2 linked regions of the Arabidopsis thaliana genome follow. The protein of the gene in region 1 interacts with the protein of each later gene in a pairwise test. Each region holds a gene or a part of one and is shown in the gene's direction. Other genes may lie near its edges.

Region 1 (8,631 bases):
TAAGAAGATCTGTAAGCTTCTTCGACGAGAAATTGCTTACACCGATTGCTCGAGCTTTTCCAGAGTCATAGAGAGCTTCCATTGCTTTCCATGTGCTAGTTATATCAGGTTTTGTGAGCATCTCAGGTGTTGGCATTAGTGATTCCTTCTTCAAGCTCGCAGGCCAATGTATCTTCAACAAAAGCAAAAACACATCAAAATGGAAAAAATTACACGTAAACAAGATTCATTTGCTATAAGTTATGTACCAGATATAAATCAACATAGTCAATCTGTAAGTCCTGTAACGTTTTTTCCAGTGCCTTAGGCACATCTTCAGGTAAATGATCATTGCTCCTACAGAACAAAACAAAAAACATGAACATGTGTGTGTGTGTGCAGTGCAGACCAGAGAGAATCTTGGTAGAAACAGAACACCAACCAGAGTTTGGAAGTGATAAATAACTCCTCACGCTTCACAAAACCATCACCTATCAGCTTCTTCAACACACCACCAATCTAATAAATGGAAATCAATCATAGTGTGAGAACAACGAAAATAGGAAGAAAGCAGAACACATTTAGTTCCCACAAACTAAACATTCATATACCTTTTTCATTAGAAGCATCATACCAAAAAAAAAACTCTTTCATTAGAAGCATAGAGGCTACACTTACTGTGAGATTCTTGTTCCACCATGACCCTCAAAAACTATAATAAATATACACTCTTGTAGAGAATACATTTGATGACCAGTCAAATGACATCTATGGTTAAAGAGAGATAAATTAAAATATATTGTAGATAGCAAATTTACCTCTTTCTCGTTTCCGTAAATCGAAGCACAGTCGATATGCCTGTAACCAATCTAAAATAATCGACAAGAAAAGTGTCAAAGTTAAATTTTATATCCAATGGCATAATAATAAGGTCGAAGTTTGATCCGAAGGTGATACCTTAATCGCCTGTTCGATCGCTGTCGCGACCATTGCGTAGGTTCCTAGACCGACGCAAGGTAACTTGGCACCAGTGTTCAGTTCAAAGAATCGAATCGGAGCTGCCATCTCTTAAAAGTTTTCTGGATAATTCTATTGAAAGAAGAAAACTGAGAGAAGGTGATGAATATGCAAAAAAAAAACTAGATGCAGAAGAAAAGAAACATACGTAACTCGGAGAAATAGCACTTTGTTTCTTCCGCATAAAATGCTAAAAATCGTATGGCCACTAAAGGCGTTTTCTTTATAGTCAATTGTGCGTATTCATTTTCTTTTGCAGTGTGCACATAACATAATTATGGCATTTATTTCTAAAAGTGATGTACTGTCAAAGTCTTAAACAAATAGAAATTGGTTTGTTCTTTTTTTTTTTTGTTAGTTGGTTTCATTATTAACATTAGTGAAAAATATCAATTTACTTAAAAGTTTGATATTATGTCATTTTTGCATATTAATACCAAAACTAGGAAATTGTAACGTAATTAACCTGTTTTACAACCTATATACCATGAAAACATTAACTAAACATTTCATACAATTGTTCTCGAATAAACTAAATATATTCATAGAAACTTTATACAATTAAAAGAAAACACACAATTGACAAATCAAAAGCCACGAGACCACCCTTTTGGGTTAAAGTCTACGCTTAGAGAAATCAATTTTCCAAACCGAATTATTACATCAGGTTTATTAAACCGGTCCAAGCCTAACTTACAAAAAAAAAACGCACAAAACAAAAGTCACGAACCCTTCCCTCACACGCAACTTCAGGTTCCTTCAAAAAGCGCGTGTGAATCACGTGACAACCTGACGAGAAACAGGTGACTGGACTCCCGCGTAAACAGCAAACGTAGTTGTGCTTGTCGACGACGACGCCCTATTGGAGGAATTAGATCCAGGACCCGATACATCTAAATCGGATCTTACAAACCGACCCGAATCACCGGGAAGACGAACGTAGTAAGAAGAAGAAAGTTGCTGCGACTCGTTACCGTAACGGATTTGCATGACGGCTTTGTATACTAACGGAATTAGACCCTCCATTTATCTTGTTTATTGTTATTTTTGCTGTAGCGACCAAAGAAGAGCAGGTTTGGTTTTTTATAGAGCGATCAAGATTGTCACGTGGCGTCTTATGATTTGTTGCTGCATCCATAAGTTTTCTCACGTCATTAGTTAGTGTATTTAAATATTAAATGAGTTTGAATGTTAAAAAGATAAGCAACCTTTGAATGTGAAATTTGGGTATAGGAAGAATCTGAAAGCTACATTCAAACTAATATAAAAACCACGGCCGGTCCAATGGATTTATCTTCAACATAAGTTGACATAACTATTAACACATATTTAATATTTGTTAAGTTATACAGAAATTTATCAAATTAAGTTTATCCACATCCAATTTTGATAATGGTATGCAGCTGGACTGCTTTGATAATGATAAAATTTTAATTTTTGTATATTTTTTCAAATGTTGTTAGTAAAGTATACTATAGTAGTTAATTAATTGCTTTTAAAAAACAAAATTGTGCTATAAAATCTTTGAATAATGGGAAGTGTATCATAATATATTTATAAAGGTGGGGGATGTGTTTGGATTATTATAGAAAATAACGTATGATGTCAAAAGATTTGTTATATATATGATGACGTTTGACTGTTTGAGGTGTAAAAAAATAAGAGAAGGTTACGAAATTGTGCCCACTAAACTATTTGGGTATAGTCAAAATATTAAAAAGATATATATTAGCTATTGAGGAATTAATTAATCCGTTGGTATTGAAGAAGCCAATTGAGTATGATTGACTATCGTCTTGATTTAATGGTTATCTTCATCTGCCTGTATGATGACTGTGATTATATCATATAGTTCTTTATCTGATTGAAACTTGACTTTAAGGTTAACAGTAACATTGAAAAACAAAAGACCTTTCTATATATTTTTGTAACACTAAAATATTTTCTCCTCAAATTTGATAGATAAAACTAGAACATCTGTTTGTCCAAAAAAAAAAAAAAAAAAAAACTAGAACATGTGTCATTATCACGATGTTACAAATGAAGATAAAATGTCTAAAACAATAAACATCATGTCAATAAATCCAAGTTTCTAGTATTCCTCACAATTTATTTGTAATGAGTTAATCACTTTATTGTAAAGGTATGAAGACAAAAAGTTCGACAAGAAAATATTGAACTTCTTGTTTGCTTGTTCATTGGGAATAAAATCATTTTGTTCTCAAGGCAATAATCTCCTTATAGAACTAGGTTTTTAGTGGACAACTAAACTCTATACTTTGTATTCATGTGGGCCTTGTATGGTTAAAGCCCAAAACCTCGCTTGGTCAGTGTTGTTCTCATCTTTACCGATACAACAGAAAAACAAAGTAGCATTTTTTTTTTACAAAAGTATAAATTCTTTTTTCTATTTTCTATTGAGTTCGATTATGAACTAGTTTGCAGTATTTTATCAGCATGAGTTTTACCATTTGTTGTAATTCATTAAATGTATTATATATTACACATTTACAACGAAAATAGACATAAATTAAGGTGTTGTTTTTTTGTTCTAAAAAGCTTTTTACTCTACAAAATAAATTTTGATGTAACATATATGGCGCTAAGCCTAGAGCTCACTGAATATGCCTTACCCAAAATTGTTTTTTTGGATCAGCCATTGTATATAGTCATCCATTTAAAAGTCATAAAACGTTTCAGTCCCTTGAATTCTCTTGTTTTGTTATAAAGTTAACAATATATCCATAATCACAAAAATCAGGGATGAAATAGCATCATAGAAAATATTTTGGTTAAATGAAACAATTTAGTTTAATAATAAACTATTATATTTCATTTAATAAAATATTTCTAATAAACTAAATTCTTGAAATGATATTTCATTTAGCAAATATATATATATATATATATATAATCCATTTTACCGTGAGGATATTTATAATTGGTTTCAAAAAAAAATTAAAACAGATATATGTACTACATTAATTACAATACTATAAATTACTGTATATTCAAGGAAAAATATTACGTTCATTTGCGGGTAGCCACTTGGAACAAGCAAACATAAAAGATTTAGATCAGTCCGCTAACTTTTACTAAAATCCAAAGTTCGTGTCATCTTTTTCTTCATAAAATCCCTACGGTCCAATTATTATTATTATTATTATTTCCCAATTAATTAATTAAATAAACTATAATTCCTTTGATCGTTAAAAAACCTCCACTCGTTTTGGTTTTAATTTCTTTTTATATAAAACATCTTGACCTCCATTATTTTCATTACACCATTCTTGATCTCTTCCGTAATCCACCACCTAATATTAATCATCTAGGGTTCCTCTAACCAACCAAGAAAAAAAGGAAGAAGAAAGGTTTATTCTAGGGTTTGTATCGTCAACTTCTGATCAATATTGTCATATACAATGGAGAAACCTGGTGGCTTCTGGATCCCCAAGAAAAGCAACAAAGAGTCATCTTGGGAAGAGCTGGCCTTTGCAGAAGACGATGCCGCCGGATCTTTGTGGCCGCCAAGATCTTATACGTGTAGCTTCTGCCGGAGAGAATTTAAATCGGCTCAAGCCCTCGGTGGCCATATGAACGTTCACCGAAGAGACAGAGCACGGCTTAAGCAAGCCGACGACCAATACTTATTCCCCAAATCTTCTTCGTCTCCAGAGTATCCATCTCATAAAGATAGCGATAATATTCATGAAACCTCTTGCTATACTTTGGTTTTTAACACCAAACCTAATTATTTTAAGACTCAACACTCTTGTGTTATTGATCTTTCTTCGTCTTCTTCTTTACCATATTTGACTCCTTCTAGGGTTTCTTCTGGTTTGCCTGGAAAGCAACATACTTCTTCTTCTCCTCCTTCTTTCGTTGTAGAACCTTCCAAGAACTCTAAATATATTCCCTCTTCTTCCCCATGGTCGTGCCCAAGTACTGTTGTGGAGCAAAAGAGTTGTGATCTATATGAAATTCCGGCTATGGAAGGAGAAAAGAAGAGAAAGACTGAGAGTGATGTGCCAAAAATCGGGCATAAAGCAAAACTTAGTCTTGGAAACACCACTGATCTCTCGGTGAGTATGAATCTGGTCATCCACCAAAGTTTTCCGATTACTGCTCACGGTAGCGATGAAGAGATTGGTAGGGTGGATATCCGTAAAAGAAGACGAAGACATGAGAGTCCGTCGCAGCAGTCGATTTTCATTTCAAGTTTATCTTGTAAGAGTGACATAATTACAAGAAACGAGGAAAGCAAACACAAAGGTGATCGCTTTGAGGATTTAGATCTTGAGCTTAGGCTAGGGACTGATCCACCAAAAGGAATTTGATTGATGGACCGATGAATCTCTACCAAAACAAAGGTAAAGGGAAGATATATATAAATAGTAACATTTCATATGGTGAGACAAAATAACACATTTCATATGGTATGTATGTGAATGTGTATGTGTGTACTTGGATTTATCGTTCCTTCGTTTTGTGTGTCTAAAATGTACTGATGATTGATTTTTGGGTTTTATTTCTATTGTTTTATTTTGGGGGATAAATTGTATGAAAAGTTCAGCTAAAAAAAAATGGAAAAATCTAAAGGAAGTATTGAGTAGTATATGTATGTACACTTGAGGCTTGAGAACAAAATTTCATATACAATTAGGTATATTGACACCCTAAGTCATTTTGTTATAATTAGTAGTACATGTTTAGACAATGTTTCCAGGAGTGAATCATACATATGCTACCACATACCATTCATTTCTCAGCTTCTAGTTTACGACGTTGAGATATCTATTCACAGAGAAAAAAATAAAGATTGGTTAATGGGGTCAGATGAGCCCATATTATGATTCATTTTCTGGGTAAAGTTTTCGATATATATGATTTAGCTTGGATATGCAAATGACTATATGAACTCTGTAGTATATTATTTAGTAATAGTAGTATTTGAAATGATAATGTACATGAAAATACGAAACCATGAAAACGAGCAAAATACTTTTGTATATATAAACAAGAGCAAAGTATTTTGTATAGCCCAGCTTCACTACCTAGGCGATCGTTTAAATGCGCTTTAAAATCTCAGCTTAATTCGAATCTTACCGGAAAAATGACTAACTAAGTTGTTATGGTTTCCATAATAAGAATACGGGGTCTTAATAACTCTTAAGTCCGAAACCTCTTGGTTAAAAATTAAAAAAAAAGTATTGACACGTCTATACTTCCTTGAGTGATTTGAAGCATGTTGTGTAACAACAATCCAAAATAAAATCACATGAAGATGGAATATTTTCTGTCACAATTTCCAAGAAAGAGATCGAATGATGAATAATTCTCCCATAGATCTTAGTTAGTAATTTATTAAAGGAATTTCGATAGCTATAATATAATTAATATTTACGTAAAGTAGAAAAACTCGGAAGCAACTAATTATTGTTCTTTTTCCTATCATAATTGCAGGAACTCTGGCAAATAAGTTCGTAACTAATTTTGTAAAACAATAAGGAAATAGTTTAATAATGACTAATTCCTCGTTGTTAAACGTCGTTATAAGCTCGTTTCCACATACATTCGCATCTCAGTACGTAACATGCCATTCTGTCAAAATCATAAAAATAAGCATAAGAAAGAGCACAAAAATCCAAATATGTCACAACACATATTCCCTTTCGCTTGTTTTGTCTCAATAGATAATTGAATAGAATAAAATTATATACTACTCCAACCATTTAGAGTCTCTACCCTAACTTTTTAGCCCCATGGGTTACCAACTCTTCTATCGCTTAGACTTAACTTAATCTATAAATTTTCATATCGTATCTGTAAACTAGGTTTGCACTGTTTCTATATATCAAAAACCCATAACGCATTGGAAGAATCTGTTTATACTTAATTATATATTACACATTTACATTACATAAACCATAGTATTTTCATTCTTAATTTCTATCAACCATCCGGTTTCTATTGATACAACCAAAAAAACTTTTTGAATACAATAAGTGAAAGTTTTTACATTAGTGGAAAATGTTTACCCAAGTTGCTTCCCAATCCCACTACGTAGTACATTAAATAAGGTGGTGAGCTTTATAGGGGAAACTATATATAGATGCATATACGGGCAAGTATATATGATATATCTACTTGTCTAAAGAATTTTGGAGCTAATCTATTAGTGAGATTTTACTAGAAGTCTAAAAATGAAAAACAATTAGTATAGTCTCTTAGTGATTTGATTTGATATGATTTTATAGTGTAAAATATATATGTTGTATGAGATTCTAAGAAATGATACAGTGAAATAACATAGAAACTTTCTTCTTTTTGTGCAAGTTGATTTTGAAAAGAATTTAAAAACAGATATTTTCTCTTGAATGTTTTTCGATTCGTTCATGAACCCATTGGCATAAACTTCAAAGCTATCAACTAATTCTTGGTTTACCTAGCTAGGGTTTGGTTATTAGTTAGATACGCTCTTTAGATTGCTATAAATATAATGAAGTGGTCTTCTCTGTATATAACAATACATAGGTGGAAGTGAAGTCTTCGAATAAAAGCAGAGCTTCCACATGGGGAATGAATCTCATTCTCTGTAACTCACATATTTCAATAGTTAAATTAATAATTCAAATATGACAATAATCAAATATATACAATACGTGAAGGGAATTTTTTTTTGGATTCTAAGAATTAAAGTGTCACGGAATTTTGGACGATTCTTTAGATAATAATATAATGCATCAATTACTGGACAAAAATTGGTTATCAATTATTTCCCAATAGCAAGACCAGTCGACATATGTCTGTTTGAAACTAATCAACAACTAGACTTCGAATACTAACAGAAATATAATACACACAAGTACACTGGTACATATGTAAGCGAAAGTTCTACAGAGGATCCTGACAACAAGAAAAGACCAAAAATTCTTGGTTGGTCCGCTTTACCAGTCTGGTTTCTTTTATTTTATTCTCAGTTTTAAAGATGTGAGTGAGGTTATGTAAGTGATGTTTTGTCAACGACTCAAAAGAGTAAAATATACCTTTGATTCAAGTTTGTTACTCTCTTAGTCTTATGGTTAAGATTTTTGGACATTTCCTTCACTCCACCATGCTTGGCCCAATAACATACGTATGTGCAACAGCTTAGGGTCCATAACTTTTTTAAAAAAATTTGGTGGTCAACAAAGGTCCATTACTCTAGTCATACAGTATCTGATAGTCATCCTATATGCTTCAAAGTTAAAACCATTCCTATGTTTTAGAAGATTTGTTTTCTCGAAACCATATATTTCATCAACGAAAATAAAGGAGTAGGAATATTCGTCGAATATAAACTTTCTCAATTTGTATCGCAATATATGTAAACTTTAGCTGCAAAAATATAAAAATAAAAATAAAAATAAATGTCAATCTTATTTCCACTAAACCCTATTCGTACAGTCGTAACATATTTGTACAAAATAAAGTTCCACAGACCATAAACATCAAAAAAAAAAAAATGGCCATCTTCGATCCGTTTAAGCTCCACCATAAGCCGCCGTCGATTTTTCCGGCAACAACTGTAAAACCAAGCCATGTTCTTTCCCTCGTCGCTAAGTTCTTCTTCACCATATGCATCTTCATCTCCGT
Region 2 (7,494 bases), on another chromosome or scaffold:
ATACTTTTTGTATTAAAACTGTATATCTGATTTGTCCTTGGTTAAAATTAGTGACTTTATAGAAATGTAGACTTAAACTTGATTCGTGTGAAAAATGTAAAAACCACATATGCTATAGAATGAGGTATTGCATCGAGTATGTTTCTCCGACAACGACAAGCTTAAAAAAGAGATGGTAATAAATAATTCCCGACGATCACGGGACAAAAGCTGAGATAGCTTCAGCTCCACACTAAGCAATCGTCGAGAGAACCATCATGACTCGTCCCATTGGCCCAAAAGTCCTACTATCCAATTATCCTATTCTTTCTCTTATTTCCAAATTGGACCTACTTAATCGTCATTGCTTTCTCTCTTTAATGTTGTGTCTATATCAGTTTCTTTTGTTCTTACCAAAATACTAAATAAAAAAATCTTGCACTTCAAACCTTAAAACACGTGTAAACTCAAATAAATTTTGTATCAAATTATTTACTAGTATATCATAAATCTACTAGTATAATATAATACTGTATATGATAATCATGGCTATTAAAAACTTGTGATAATCATTAAAATGGCATTTTAGAGATCTATGTATAGTTATTATTAAAAATATATTTCCTTTTAACATTATAACAGCTTTGCTACCACAAAACATTATCTAATTCTAAATTTCTAATCTTCATTTTTCAACTAACTCAACTACCAAACAGTGGAATAAAGTCAAAAGCATGTGTAAATAAATAATAACTCGTAATTTATTTTCTTGGGTGCTTTTCTTTTTTGACCAAAACATATATAAATAAAACTAACAAATGCAAAATATCCTCGTATGACCCACTTTATGAATTCTTTATAACCTTTTCAAATTTTATTTTAAATCACTCGCCGCGAATGACGAATGTCCCCTCCTCAATCTTCGCATGTTTGCTCGCCATTTAACTACTTCTTTACTTATCATACCAAAAAAAAAACTACTTCTTAATTCTATTTATACATAAACTCACTCACACACCAAAATCACATCTCAAATCCTAAAATCTTTCACTCTCTCACATTATTCTCTCTTCATTGATGGCTTCTTTTGCTCTGAAACCCATTTTTTGTTTCATTGCTGTTTTTTGCTTCATCGTCCACAATGTTGAAGCTAGAGAGGGTAAGCTCTTCTTTAGCAAGTTCACTCACATAGATCGTCCTAACAACAAAGATGTCGCTCTATCTCCAGCTCCAGCTCCCGGACTAGCCCAAGCTAATGGAAGACTCGGAAATGGGTCTTTCGGGCCTGGTTCCGGTATGATTCCTCAAACCAAAGAGTCATGGCCAAGTTCATCCACTACAACAGACGAAGAGTTTGAGAAATTGATGGCTACATTTGACGAAGAAAAGAATACCAAGTTACCCGAGGCATTCGAGGAAGAAGAAGAATCTGAAGATTCGGAAGATCTCAATGAGCCAAAGGATAAGTACAACAACAACAACAACAATAATGGATACACTTACACTACTAACAATTATAATGACAATGGGAGAGGTTACGGTAATGAAGAAGAGAAGCAGGGGATGAGTGACACAAGGGTTATGGAGAACGGTAAGTATTTCTACGACACAAGAGGTAGGAATTCAGAAAACACCCCTAGTCGCGGGTATGAGAATGCTCGAGGAAATGATCATACCAACGAGTTTGAAACTATGGAGGAATACTACAAGAGCTTGGAGGGTAGTCAAGAAGAGTATGAGCCTTAGAAGGAAATTGTATTTGAGAAAACAAAACACTTTTTTGGAGCAATTAATTATATTGTGCAATCTCCATTTACTTGTCTTTTATGAAAAGTGAAAGTAAAAACACTTTTAAGTTATACAAATCAAAGCTGTGAGTTATATTATGTTTATGCTAAAATTTTTTAACGTTTATCTTAATCTCAATTTATGACCATGATTAATACCAGCGACGAGTATGTGTTAAAAATAGAATCAAAAGACCAATAATACCAATTTAAGAGAACTATGCAAGACCAAAACTACACCATCATAATCTCAAAAGTAATCATAACTGAATATAATCTCAGTGACCTAGAGAGTTCTCTGAAAATTTAAATTAAATAATAACGAAGAGAAGTAGAGACAGACACCGGTTGTAGTCATTAAGCAGTAATTACTTCATACTCGACCAGAGAGAGATTGTTGGCCCGGTTAACCTCGAACGAAACAGGACCGGTTATTTCAATGCGTCCCCATCTGTCAACAGCCATTCTCATAGTGTCCTTGAACAAGTCGATCTTCGCATTCCTCAGTATAACTGTTGCTCCAGTCTTCATTAGATCAACTGCATTTGCAACCCCAAAAGAACATCATTAATTAGTACCATACATATTCTCACATATTGAATAGGAAGTTGTATAAATGTCAAACACAAACACACTAATCAAAGCTTAGAGATTAATGAAGTGGAACATATTGAACACTAATCAAAGCTTAGACATATATAAATAGATATACTCTGTTCATCAATAAACTAAACTATAAGCAAAATTATCTATAAAAAAAGTTAAACTTTATCAAAATCTCTGAAGTATAAATGTTTTAGATCTTCACAAACATAGAGATTCCAATCAAGGCATATATAAACCTAGAAACAGAGAAATTATGGAAAGATTGAACGCAATTTCGAGTGAAAACGATAGAGAAACGATTACGAAACCCTAACCAAGAGAACTTATATATGTAAATAATTAAGATCCTTACCTTGGTCGTTGCGAGCGGTGAAAAGAATGCATCCAGTATCGTCACCAATTAGGCACTCAGCGATACGAGGAGATGAAATTGGCTGCTGCGTCAACGAACTTTTACGAATCGCCGGTTTAACGGGATTCGATTCAAGGACTTTGACGATCAGAGTATGGCCGCTGGTTCCTGGTTTGAGCTGATCCACCTTCACAAACACTGGTTTACGCTTCGGCGCAGTCGTCGCGTTAGTATTCGCCGTCGTCGACATAGTGTCGTAATTTGAATCTCCTTAGGGTTTTTCAAAATAATTGACAACTTTGACGTGATGAAGAGTCGCGCTGGTAGATTAGGGTTTAGATTCTTCACAATGGTATTTAAATGAGAAAATTAGAAACAAATCTTACTCTGGATTATTATCTAAATTACTGGATTATAAATTACCACTAATTCATTTTTTGCGATTTTTAAAACGGTATACATTTTATTGGCGCGTTCAAAATTTGAAACTTAAACTCATTATATTTTCATATTATGCTTAATATTAGTCGAATTTTCTTTTTTTGACATCCAATATTAGTCTAAGCAGATTGTGGAGTAATAATAAATCATCAAATTTTGTTATAATGTAGCAATGTATCATCTACTCAATTTTTATGTATTATAACTTTTGTATCAAAGAATACAATTTTAGATTCATCAAGCTTTCTCGAAGTATATATTCGACATGGATAATTTCTAAGTACTTGTTTATCAGATTCTCAGATAAAATATGAAAAAGCCCAAAGATAATAACCTGTTAAAGCCCAAGCAACAAATGGCGCAAAACTGCGAGACGCAAGAACGGGGACGTTTAGGTTAAAACATAAAAAGGCGTCATAAAACTGTTTTCTCTTTAAGGCGGCGCGTCAGTCAATCCACGTGGACATTTCTTTCCACATTTTTGTCACTTTGTCCTTTTGTGGGATTACGTCACTTCTATAAAACAATAGTTTTGTCCTTTATCTAAATTATTCTCCCCCAACCAAAATATGACCACAGAAAAAGAGAATGTCACTACGGCCGTGGCCGTGAAAGACGGCGGAGAAAAGAGTAAGGAAGTGAGTGACAAGGGCGTAAAGAAGAGAAAGAATGTAACTAAGGCCCTGGCCGTGAATGACGGCGGAGAAAAGAGTAAGGAAGTGCGTTACAGGGGTGTAAGGAGGAGACCATGGGGGAGATATGCTGCGGAGATCCGTGATCCGGTAAAGAAAAAACGGGTCTGGCTCGGGTCCTTCAACACGGGGGAGGAAGCCGCCAGAGCCTACGACTCCGCTGCCATAAGGTTTCGAGGATCGAAAGCTACTACTAACTTCCCTCTAATCGGATACTATGGGATTTCTTCGGCGACGCCGGTGAACAACAACCTTTCCGAGACGGTGAGTGATGGAAATGCCAACCTCCCTCTCGTTGGAGACGATGGGAATGCTTTGGCTTCTCCGGTGAACAACACCCTTTCCGAAACGGCGCGTGATGGAACACTTCCATCGGATTGTCACGACATGTTATCTCCGGGGGTGGCTGAAGCGGTTGCTGGATTTTTCTTAGATCTGCCTGAAGTTATTGCGTTGAAAGAGGAGCTTGATCGAGTTTGTCCTGACCAGTTTGAGTCCATTGATATGGGGTTGACTATTGGTCCTCAAACCGCCGTGGAAGAGCCTGAGACTTCCTCCGCCGTGGATTGTAAGCTGCGAATGGAACCGGATCTTGACCTCAACGCAAGTCCCTAAAGATTGATCTGATGTTGTTGTCCTTGAATAAGTTTGTTATCTTGTCGCTCTTCTGATTGTCTGTACTTCTATTGGTTGATTCGTGCTTTTGGAGGACAAAACAAACATTTTTTTATGTATTAAAAAAAGGTAATTGAACTATTATCGTATCATAACCTAGCCAATGGATTTCGTGTTGACGTGGGGGATAAAGAAGTATTGGTGTCAGGTGGGTCGCACGTGTGTTTTTCGCCGTCCACAGTGACACGTGGAATACAACTTATCTCACTACTTACCTTTTTTACTCACGCGCTCTCTTTTACGGTGATATACACTAGCTCCTTGAATTAGTTATAACTTATAAGAGCAAAGGTAAATATCAAATGAGAGAAAGAAAAACATCTGTGACAATGATTGTATTTAATACCCCAGTAACAAACTGATCCAAAATCAAGATTCTCTTGATAAACAGAAATATGTATGTTTCATCACTTTGTTTATAGCAATGAGTATAGAGTCCACCAAAAGGAGTATATATGTTCATAGATCCCATACATGCATGTATGTGCTCATATATTATAATATTATGTAGTCAACACGTCTCGATATGTACATCTGTCGATGACATACACATGCCTCATATGAAAGCTACTAGCTTTCGTGTGGTGTCCAAAGAAGAACAATTGGAGAACTTGTCGCACCTTTTTATATACAAAAAAGGATGTGACATATAACTTTAGGGAGACGGTACTAACACAACTGTATTCTCGTCTACCAGGCACCAGCATAACCAAAACATAACACATTTCAGGGTGAGGGGGATGAATAATTCGAGAATTGTGCATAGGTACATTCATAAAATTAAATCATAAACATAACACGTTTCAGGGTATACGATGAGATGAAACATTTATTTTCAAGAAACGCATATCTTAATATCATTTATAAAACTTAATAGCGTAAACCGAAAACGCAATGTGATCAATCGTCCAGTGATATTTTATACGTTTAAAAGCTTAATACAAATTAACTATAAAACAAAAACCATCAGTTAATCAATATACATATCACAATGATGAAAACAGACGAAGACGAAAACAAAAAAGAAGATCAATATACATATCAATATTCAATTGTGAGGTTGTAATGTTCAAATTGATCTATTAAAGATTTAACAAAGTATACATGAAAAGGGAAAAATATCTATAGAATTGGTGAAACATTGCACAATCCGAGTCCACAAGATATTACAAGTTCAACATATTATTTGGTAAAAATCCCATCAGAAAAAGAAAATTCTAAAAAATAAACGACAATACACAAGACACTTCTGAATTAGCTAAAAAAAAAAATCTTCAAAATAAATTTGAACAAACAATCTCTCCATGCATTGACCAAACCGTTACGAACCGATTATTCTCCCATGATTCATGAATGTGATTAAAATTCTTCCACCGAAATTTACATTCTCAAGTCAGATCTCCTCCCGGCGAATCTCCACCGTCAATCCCTCAAGTCAAGAGATCATTGACCCATCCTAGATCAGGGTCACCACAAGAACCATCCTCAATGTTAGTATTCTCCCTAACGGCCGTCATCGCCGTGAAATCGTTCATCTGTCTCCGGCGAGGAGTGAAATCATCACTGAAGAAGTTCGCCTGAGGTGAGTTAGTTAGGTAACTTGGAGTGGAAGGCGAAAGAGCAAATTGCAAAGGGCTACTTGGTTGTTGTTGCTGGAGATGGAGACGCTGATTGCTCAGACCGCAGGACGACGCAAACGCGGCAGCCGCAGCGGAAACCGGAGTTGTAACGGGCGACGAGGAACTCGCCTGCAGCGCTTCCGCTAAGCTCATGGAATCCAAAGAATTCACAAGCTCGCTCAAAACGTCTTTATAGTTCATTGAACCAGCGGCTGCAGCGGCGGAAACGGCAGAAGCGGCGCGGTTCCTCAACCGTGAAAAAGCAGCGGCTTTATTAGCCGGAGACATAGGTGGAGACAGAGACGGAGATCGAGAAAGATGAGACAAATTACCCAAAAGAGTGCTCGTGGGAGAGCTGCTACAAAACAAGCAACATGGATTCTTCGCCGCAGGAGAAGGCGACGCTGAGACACCGGAAACGTTCTCCGGAGGAAGAACCCTAAGCTGACGTGGCGAATGAGCAAAGAAACAGACTTTCCTTTTACAGTGTTTACCGTCTTTACAAGCTTCAGTACGGTAACGAATAGGATGGAGCCAACACTCGAAGACTCCATGAGCAAACTCACAATCATCTCCACGGCTACAATCACCACCACGACGAAACTCGGGACAAACCTCACCGGAGTATTGAAAGCGACGAGGGTCACGACGGCGAGCTTTCTCACCGGGATGAGCAAAAGGACAATCAGTCCAATCGTGGCTTCGGCTACGAGTGCAACGACGGATCTTGAATTCGAACATCCGGAAATGATCACTTGCGTAAGGATCATCAGAGTCAGAATCATAACAGTACTCTTTATTCTCTCTGTTGTTGTCTTCGTTGTCTTCTTCATGTTCAGATGTAATCTTGTTGCTTTTGTTCCAGTTATGTTTACGCGGCGAGCGAGGGGAAGAAGAATCAGAAGGAAAACTCTTGGAAGATAAAAGAAGCTTTCTCGGAGGAATCTCCACCGTTGGCTTCCTCATTTGATGTTCCGTACAAACGACATCCATGATGATATAATATCTAACTTGTTTTTTTTGTTTGTGATGTGTTTTGGTTTTGAGGGATTTGTGTAAGATGAAAGATGGGATATTGTGGTTTATATATATGTGGATTGAGTATAGATATAGACATGAGAATAAGTTAAAACGTATATTTAAATATTGTTAGCTTTGGATTATTATCATTAAATAGAATTTTGATGAGATGTAATAAGAAGACAAGAGATTAAAAAGTGGAAGGAGTCGTGTGAAGGGTATGGGGAGAGGGTTCGTGGCGAGATAAGAGAAGAGTTTTAGAGAGGTTTCATGCAAAAGAAGCAGGAGCTGCCTTTCTCTCCTTGCTTCAGACCTAACACATG

Evidence for each region.
Region 2: the proteins of ZFP10 (region 1) and ERF10 interact in a two-hybrid assay, tested with the Arabidopsis thaliana proteins (one large-scale study listed by BioGRID).

The regions. Positions count from the first base shown.
Region 1 is NC_003071.7:15,824,408-15,833,038, reverse strand, and holds ZFP10 (zinc-finger protein 10), read left to right. Parts: upstream 1-4,254; 5' UTR 4,255-4,418; coding exon 4,419-5,333; 3' UTR 5,334-5,623; downstream 5,624-8,631. Other genes in the region: AKR4C8 (NAD(P)-linked oxidoreductase superfamily protein), read right to left, coding at 1-172, 249-336, 422-498, 798-848, 937-1,044; AT2G37750 (uncharacterized protein), read right to left, coding at 1,774-2,022; AT2G37730 (glycosyltransferase (DUF604)), read left to right, coding at 8,501-8,631.
Region 2 is NC_003070.9:954,239-961,732, reverse strand, and holds ERF10 (ERF domain protein 10), read left to right. Parts: upstream 1-3,349; 5' UTR 3,350-3,734; coding exon 3,735-4,472; 3' UTR 4,473-4,629; downstream 4,630-7,494. Other genes in the region: AT1G03820 (E6-like protein), read left to right, coding at 1,057-1,725; AT1G03810 (Nucleic acid-binding, OB-fold-like protein), read right to left, coding at 2,124-2,305, 2,725-2,974; SOM (Zinc finger C-x8-C-x5-C-x3-H type family protein), read right to left, coding at 5,963-7,144.